Coturnix japonica: one gene and its partner. The protein of the gene in region 1 purifies or fractionates together with the protein of each later gene. This does not show direct contact. Links are inferred from orthologs where the notes say so. Each region holds a gene or a part of one and is shown on either strand. Other genes may lie near its edges.

The links.
Region 2: the proteins of LZTS3 (region 1) and DYRK1A purify together in Homo sapiens (affinity purification with mass spectrometry; 3 studies listed by BioGRID and IntAct, with this or other methods). This does not show direct contact. The link is inferred for Coturnix japonica from reciprocal best matches to the Homo sapiens genes LZTS3 and DYRK1A.

The regions. Positions count from the first base shown.
Region 1 is NC_029519.1:80,345,174-80,348,684, reverse strand, and holds part of LZTS3 (leucine zipper putative tumor suppressor 3), read left to right. Parts: coding exon 1-212; intron 213-1,797; coding exon 1,798-2,628; intron 2,629-3,511. UniProt on the Homo sapiens protein: May be involved in promoting the maturation of dendritic spines, probably via regulating SIPA1L1 levels at the postsynaptic density of synapses.
Region 2 is NC_029516.1:96,407,772-96,411,781, forward strand, and holds the start of DYRK1A (dual specificity tyrosine-phosphorylation-regulated kinase 1A), read left to right. Parts: upstream 1-1,210; 5' UTR 1,211-1,317; intron 1,318-4,010. UniProt on the Homo sapiens protein: Dual-specificity kinase which possesses both serine/threonine and tyrosine kinase activities. Exhibits a substrate preference for proline at position P+1 and arginine at position P-3.

The DNA.
Region 1 (3,511 bases):
ACCGCTACTCCGGAGAGGAGAAGACCTACAAGTCAGAGAAGGTCTCCAATTCCCTCTATATCAACGGTGACCTGCGTAAGAGTGAGAAGGTGAAGATGGACATCTGTGGGAATGTGACCACCAACAATGAGAAGAACATGCCGCCTCCTCCCCAGTACCGAGAGCCCAGTAACCCACCAAAGATATTGCCAATCTCCGGCAAACTAGACCAGGTGAGAACTCCTGCCTCCTGGAGCAGTGTAATGGTTGTGACTTGGCTCTAAAAGCACCACCCAGTTAATGGTGTAATTCTGACAAACAGTCTAATTCTTACTATGCAGATGGTCAATTTTTATTTACAATTCATATAATACTTACTACCTTTGTGGGGCAAAGGAGAATGCTAGTTCTGGAAAAATCCAATAGCATGATAATAAGTCTTTCAGAGCTAAGCTTCCAGTTCTTTGAATTATTTAACCCACCTGAGTTACTGTGATTATCTCTCCTACTGACAGAAGGGAGAACTGGAGCTGGTCCTCTTTTCAGTCAGCCCAGCATCAGTCAAATTCTTATTTTGGAGCCATTTACAGGCCATCTCCTATGGCCCACTGCCACAAAAAGGTCTTACTTGAATGAAGCTGTGTGTATCCGTTCAAAATCCTAGTGCTTCTGGTGAGGGGCAATCTGATGAGGCTTGTAAACTACCCCTGCAAACATTATTCCCTGTCCAAGCACAGTCCTTGTGGCTCATATCAGCTTAGCAGATGCCCAGAGCCCAGATGTTTTATGCAGCCTGCTGCTGTGCTCCAGCAGATCCCATAATTTGTGTCCAAGGGAGGCTGCCAGAAGCAGTGTCGTTTCAGCAGCATTTGGCGGCCTTGTCTCGTGGGCCATTAACCTGATGGCTCCCGTAGTCCATCTCAATCCCACGTGACAGATGCCAGATTTTTGGTCTCCAGCCTTTTCTGCTCATCAGGACTCATTGTGTTTCTTCTGCAAGGCACTTTCAAATACAAGGTCGATTCCTCTGGGCTAATTTTCACCTGAAGCCCAACCCACAGTAGGGAGAGACTCAATCCTATTTTGAGGAGAATTTTATTTCTGTAGGTGCACTCATGGGGAGAGGAATGTGCAAGACTTCAGAGGTTCTAAAATCCTCTGTAAATCCTTTGCAGCTGCAGTCCATTTTCTCTCCAGCATCATGTCTGCTCACAGGAAACAAACAATTCAAATCGGGAGCAGCTTCAGCATGTTACTTGCCCAGCATCACAATGATGAGGCCATAGATCCCACCTACTCTTGCCTACTGCATGAAGGATATGATATCCACGTAGAGGAGCTGACTGCCTAGTGTTTCAAGAGCAGGACAGCTGCTCATCCATGGGGTTAATTCAGTTTTCAGCAGAAGGGAAATGCAGCCTCCAATCTAGGTGTCCTTCAAAACGTAACCTGCCAAAATCAAAGTTATTTTATCAGGTCTGATAAGCAGGTGACAGCCTTTCTTTTAGCAAAGAGCACCAGTAAGAGGTTGAATTGAGTATTCTGGGGAAAAAATCATGCAGATTTGGGATGGGTCAAGCTCTTCTTTCAACAGGGACAAAGGAAGATGAATTGTTAACTTATGAGTATCCAACTCCTCTCAGGTTTCACGTGTTAAATCCTAAATGACCAAGGATGTGTTAGGGCTAAGAAATATGGAACTAGCTAGCTGGAGAGGCCTCAGCTCCACCAGACCCAGCCTGTGTTGATGTATCTTTTGTGTGTGTCATTATCAAATGTCCTGCTGTCTTTGATGCGTGGTCCTTTTTCCTTTTGCAGAGCAATGAGCCCTTAGTTAGACCCTCAGCCTTTAAACCCGTAGTTCCTAAAAACTTCCATTCCATGCAGAACCTCTGCCCGCCGCAGAGCAACGGGGTGACAGAGAACAGGAAGAGCTTGAACCACACCAACAGCAATAGCCCATCTGCACCCAAAAGCGGACTCGACAAGAGCAGCCTTAACAGGACTACAAACCAAGTGGGAGGCCTTTCAGATTCGGGCCGTAACTCGTTAACGAGTCTGCCCACGTATGGGACAGGCTACAGCCAGCACGTGGGCCCGATGAGCGCCTCGACGAGCCACATCAACCGCATCGGCACGACCTACACGGACAAGAACATCGTGGGATACAATGGGATATCTACCTCAGACAGCGGCCGGTCTTCGAGCAAGAGCACCTCTTCGTTCAACAGACTGAACCATCTCAATGAAACAATGCCTTTCCACTCTCCTTCGACGGACGACATCATCCAAGACTTGGAAGACAGGCTGTGGGAGAAGGAGCAGGAGGTCTTGCAGATGAGAAGGAACTTGGACAAAAGCGAGGCAGCCATCTTCCAAGTGTTTGAGGAGAAGCAGAAGATCTGGGAGCGGGAAATGGAGGATCTCAGGCAAAACTACGCCAACAAATTGCAGCAGGTCTCCAAAAAGGCGCAGAGGGCACAACAGGCCTTGCAGCTCCAGATCTTCAAGCTGCAGCAGGAGAAAAAAAAACTCCAAGATGACATGGGGCAACTCCTCCAGCAGCGAGAGGAGCTGGAGAAGAAATTTGTGGCTTTCAAGAAGGAGCAGGCTGAGTTTCTCCCAAAGATTGAAGAGACCAAGTGGGAGGTAAGAGCATTATTGTGTAAGAAATCCTGAGTGGGGTTTTCATTGATAACCCAAAGTGCCTCCATCAGTCCCACAAGCAGCCCAAGACAAGGGCTGTGGTTGGGTGGCCTGTAGATAACAGGAGACACTTCGGTCACCTTTATGTGTCTGAGGCTTAGACAGGGCTGGCAGGAGAGGAAGATGGGAAGGGTATTTCAGTCTTCAATTAAAATAAAATGAGTGCAATTTTTGTGTGTGTGTGTGCACATGCTGTGCTGGTTAATAATTAGGCTTCACTGTCAGGTCACTGCAATGTGGGACATTTGAATCCAGTTAGAGTGAATAAAGATTTCTCCATACAGGTATTTGTGCCTCCCAAAATTGGGTTTAAGCCTATTTTAATTAAATTCTTCAAACACCTGCGTCTGGGCAAAGCTGGAGATGGCTTTTCAAATATTTGATTTTTGTTCTTCTCGAGGATATAAAGCAAATGAGCTAAGGGTGATACCAATAGCCAAGTCTACCTCACGCTTTCCATTGCAGCGCACTGTTTTCAGTTGCTAATAAGTTGATCTCTCAAAAGGCTGAAAGGCAAGTTCCTCTTTCCAGGTCTTATATATTTTTTCTTCTGTTTCTATTTTTAGAACATTTTATCAAACCTCCTTTGAATAGCCAATGCTAACACAGTTTTGGTGGGTTTATTTTTTCAGCTTGATCATGCAAAGAATTTTAATCCTTCCATGGACTGGCTAGAAACTTAAAAATTATTAAGGCTGCAGTGGAAAATAGAAAGCAGCTCTAGAATCAAGAAGGCCCTATTCTGCTAATACTGATGGAAAGTCAATGAAAGTGGGATTAATTAGGGCTCTGCAATGCACTGTTTGGAGGCATTCAGCAGAGCTTA
Region 2 (4,010 bases), on another chromosome or scaffold:
GAGGCGACACCGTCGTGGCGGGCAGCGTCCCCGCCTCTCCCTCCCTCCCTTCCTCACGCCCCGGAGCCCGGCGAGCCGAGTCCATCCCAGCCGGCAGCGTCGCGGCCCGCACGGCTACAGCGTCACAGCGTCACCGAGGGGAGGCGGGGAAGCAGCGGTTGCCGGGCTACGGCAGCCCGGCCCTTTACCCGTCGCTCTCTCCCTCCCTCCCCACGTCAGCGCCGTCTCCCTCCCGCTCGCCCGGGCGGGGTGGGGCAGCAGGGCGCCCTGACGGACAGTTGCCACAGCGACGAGCTCGCCCCGCCGCCATTTTGTCGGTTCGCCTTTTTTTTTTAACCTACCCCTTCCACCCACCCCCCCAAAAAAAAACCAAAAACCCCCAAACAAAAAAACCCAAACCCTTTCCCGCCCGAACCGTGGTGGCGGTTTTCTTTTAATTTATTCGCTTATTTTCCCCTTCCCCGCTTCCACTCCGAAAGACAAGAAAACAGAAGAACACCTTCAATTTTATATATGTATATATATATGTATATATCCAAAAAGGGCAATAATTCGTCCCCGAGGGTCTGCCGGAAATCCACCCCGCGCTGCGGAGCGCTGTGAGGGAGCGGTGCCGGCGCAGAGCCGCTCCGGGAGGGAGGAGGAGGAGCGGGTGGGGTGGGAGGAGGTAGAGGCTGGCAGGCGGGGGAGGGAGGGAGGAGGGAGCGAGGAGTTCCCGGGGGCTCGGTACAGCGCTGCGCTTTCCCCCCACCCCCTCCTTCTCCACCACCTCCTCCTCTTCCCCCTCCCCCCGCCCGCTCTCGCCGCCCGCCCGCCGCTGTCCCCGCGCTGCCAGGCCGGGGCTCAGGCCGCCGTCGACCGCCGCACCTCACCGAGCCGAGGCGAGGCCGGGCCCCGCCGTTGCCGCCGCCGGGCGCTGCGCAGGTTTGGAACGCGCGCCATTTTGTGAGCGATAGAAAATCCAGCCCGGCCAGGAAGCGCCGCGGATCCGCCCGCCGGGCCGGGCCGGGCCCCCCCCACCTCTCCCCGCCGCCCGGAGAAGAAGGCGCGCAGCGGGCAGACCCTGCCATCGGCACCGGCACCGCCGCCGGCCGAGCGGGCCCGAGCGCGGCGGGGCGGCCGGCCGGACTGCGGAGCGCGCAAGAGGGAGGCGCCGCCGCGCCGGGGCCCCGGGCCGAGGCCGGGGGAAGAAGAAGAAGAAGCGCTCGCTCCTCGCTCTGCCCGCCGCACCAGCAGGAGAGGAAAGGAAAGGAGAGGAAAGGAGGAGAGGAGAGGCCGCTGCCGGGAGGAGCCGGGCCGGAGCGCGGGGCTCGTACGGTGAGTGAGCCGGCGGCGGGGCGCTGCGCAGCGGGACCGGCGGGTGCCACCTCCCGGCCCGGCGCGGTCGAAGGGGGCGCAGCGCAGGGGGCAGCGGCGCTGCCATCTTAGAGAGAGGCGGCGGGGAGAGCGCGGGGCCCGGCGGGCCGCTGCCCGGCGCTGGCGGGGCGCGGAGCCGCTGCGGGCTTCGGGGCTGCCCTTCCCCGCCCTCTCGTCCGCCGCCCCCTAATGGGACAGGCCGGGGCAGCGACTGCGGCCTCTGCGGCCCTTTTCTCGTCGGTGTCCGGGAGAGGCTACCGGGATGCGAGCGAGCCGGGCCCCGGGAGCGGGGATGAAGGAAGGGAGTTCGCCCGGTTCTTCTCGCTCTGATGCGCAACGCCCTGCGGTGGGCGGGAGCGGGGTCTCGGCCCGGCCTGGGAGCGGGGAGACGAGGGTGGCAGGAGCGGGGCCGTCAGCGCGGCGGGCACCTGTTGTGGTGGCTCTGCCCGCACCTTCTGCGGGGGTCGGGGGGAGTTGGGGCCGGGGCAGGAGTACCTGAAGGAGGCTGCTGTCATCGGGCTGCGCTGGGGAGAGCGGGGAGCGGCGGCCGAGCAGCGCACCGGGACCTGCGGGGTGTCAGTAGCTGGCTGCAGCCCGCTAGGAATGGAGCTTTGTGCTGCTGGAGGTGCCAGAGACCTCCTGTGATGTGTGGGGTTCTTTTTTCCTCCGTTGTGGTGTTCCCTCCCGTTGCCACAAAATCGGAAAACACAATTAGAACTGCTGTAATTTGGAATTTCGAAATTGGTGCATTTTTGAGTTTCGATCAGCTTTGAAGTTTAGAGTTTAGTCTGCCCAAAGGCCATGTAGGGGTCCTTTGATCATGTGTCTAGATTGCTGCTGTTACTTAGTTCTCCTGTTACTCCACAGCCATCGGTGGAAATAAACATTCATTGTTCTTTAAAATTAAAATTAACAAAGGCAGAATATCTGGCTATGAAATAAATCGACAGGAATGTCTTGGACAACCTACTGTTGTAGTCCCAATGGGAGCGTGCAGGTAACTTTTGCCAGTAGGTGCACACAGTGGCTTTTACGTGGCTTTCAGCGTCGTAGGGGATCTGGATAAGTGAACAGCTCGTTTTCTTATTATATTGGTAGAGCTGAAGAATTTATCAGTAATGTTTGAGGATGAATAAAGTGATGTTTTGTTTGTAGCGGTACTTTATTATCTGTGAGTAACTGAGTAGAGTGTAACTTACCACACTGGAATAACGTAGCCTGAAGAAGTTTTGGTAGAACTTGTTTCTCCTTATCTGTACTCCCCCCAGCATCTGTAGGTTGGGTATTTTTGGAAAATTAATTATACTTTATAGAATTAGAATGCTAACGCTGAAGATAACTGTGAACACGAGCTAGTATTTCTATTATCTACTTGTATCTTGTGAACTCTGTGTGTGTGTATGTGTAGGCTACTTTTGTAGGCTGTGCTTAATGTTTTTCGCTTATACAAAATATTTAGAATCAAAGCCTTTTCATTCATGGTCAGTAGTAGAGTTCGTATGTTGGATTTACATTTGTTCTACGAATTAAAAATTGAATAAAAGTTTATGAAGCTTATGGAGTTTCAATCGTATTTCCTAAACGTTTTTGACTGAGCTGTCCAATAGCACAGTCTTCTTAAATCACAAAAGGATGCAGCCCATTCTCTTAAGTTGTTGTGTATGCACACATTGGGTTCTTTAATATTGTTTACAGGCCAGTAGGTGAGAAAGTTTGTTGCCATATTCCAGTTCCTGTATCAATACTCAGGTGTATTTGGAGTTTGCCATTGGAATCCCTTCCCCCACTGTTGGACAGTTACGGAGAAGCAGCGAGAAGGATAATTTTACCTAATAGCAGCCAAGTGGTCTCTATTTCAGTGTCAGTTTATGGATAGTGTGATCTTCCTTGTGTCAAATAAGGATGTAGTAATCAGGAATTTATCAATTTTTAAAGCACGTGGGCTGTGAACGGACTAGGAGTGAGCATATGATGGTCGTAAATAACTTCCTACACACTGGTAGATGGTTTATGCAATGGAGAAAAACATGACTGGCATCAAGTAAAAACTTAGGTTTTAACATTGTGTTTAAATAGGACGTAGCTGCTAGCATGTATGTCACAGCTTGATTCCAGCAGGGCCTTGGAAAGAAATGGGTCTGGGTTAACTATATCGTTAGGCTTTGCCTTAATGAATTTACTGGGAGTTTTTGTTAGTTCAAGTAAGTTAGCCAGTGCTTTACCAAGTGTGAAAGTCCTGAATAGGTTATGCTAATGTGTATGAAACACCTGCTTGTGTGGTTGTGTGCAAGAAGACCAGTTAATAAAACTCACCAAGAACTATTCCTTGTTTGCTGTGATGGCGTTTTATAGTTTTATCTGAACTGAAATGGGTGGTGACTCTCAGCAAAGAAGCAAGTTCTGTTGCTATAATTAGATTCTCTATTCAGTGTTCCTCTTGAAGTGGCTTTATTTCAGGTGCTTTCCAACCTGCAGTCCCGTAGTTGGGGTTAAAGTTGTTCCAGCTGATGTTCTTGGTTAGTCTACCTGCAGTCATTTTTATTGCCATTTGGCCAACTGTTTTCTAAAGTGAAGTCAAAAGTTTTCTTGATACCTTTGTTTTATGGAAGCATGGAAACCTTGTATCACTACTGAAATCCTTTTGTAAATAGATC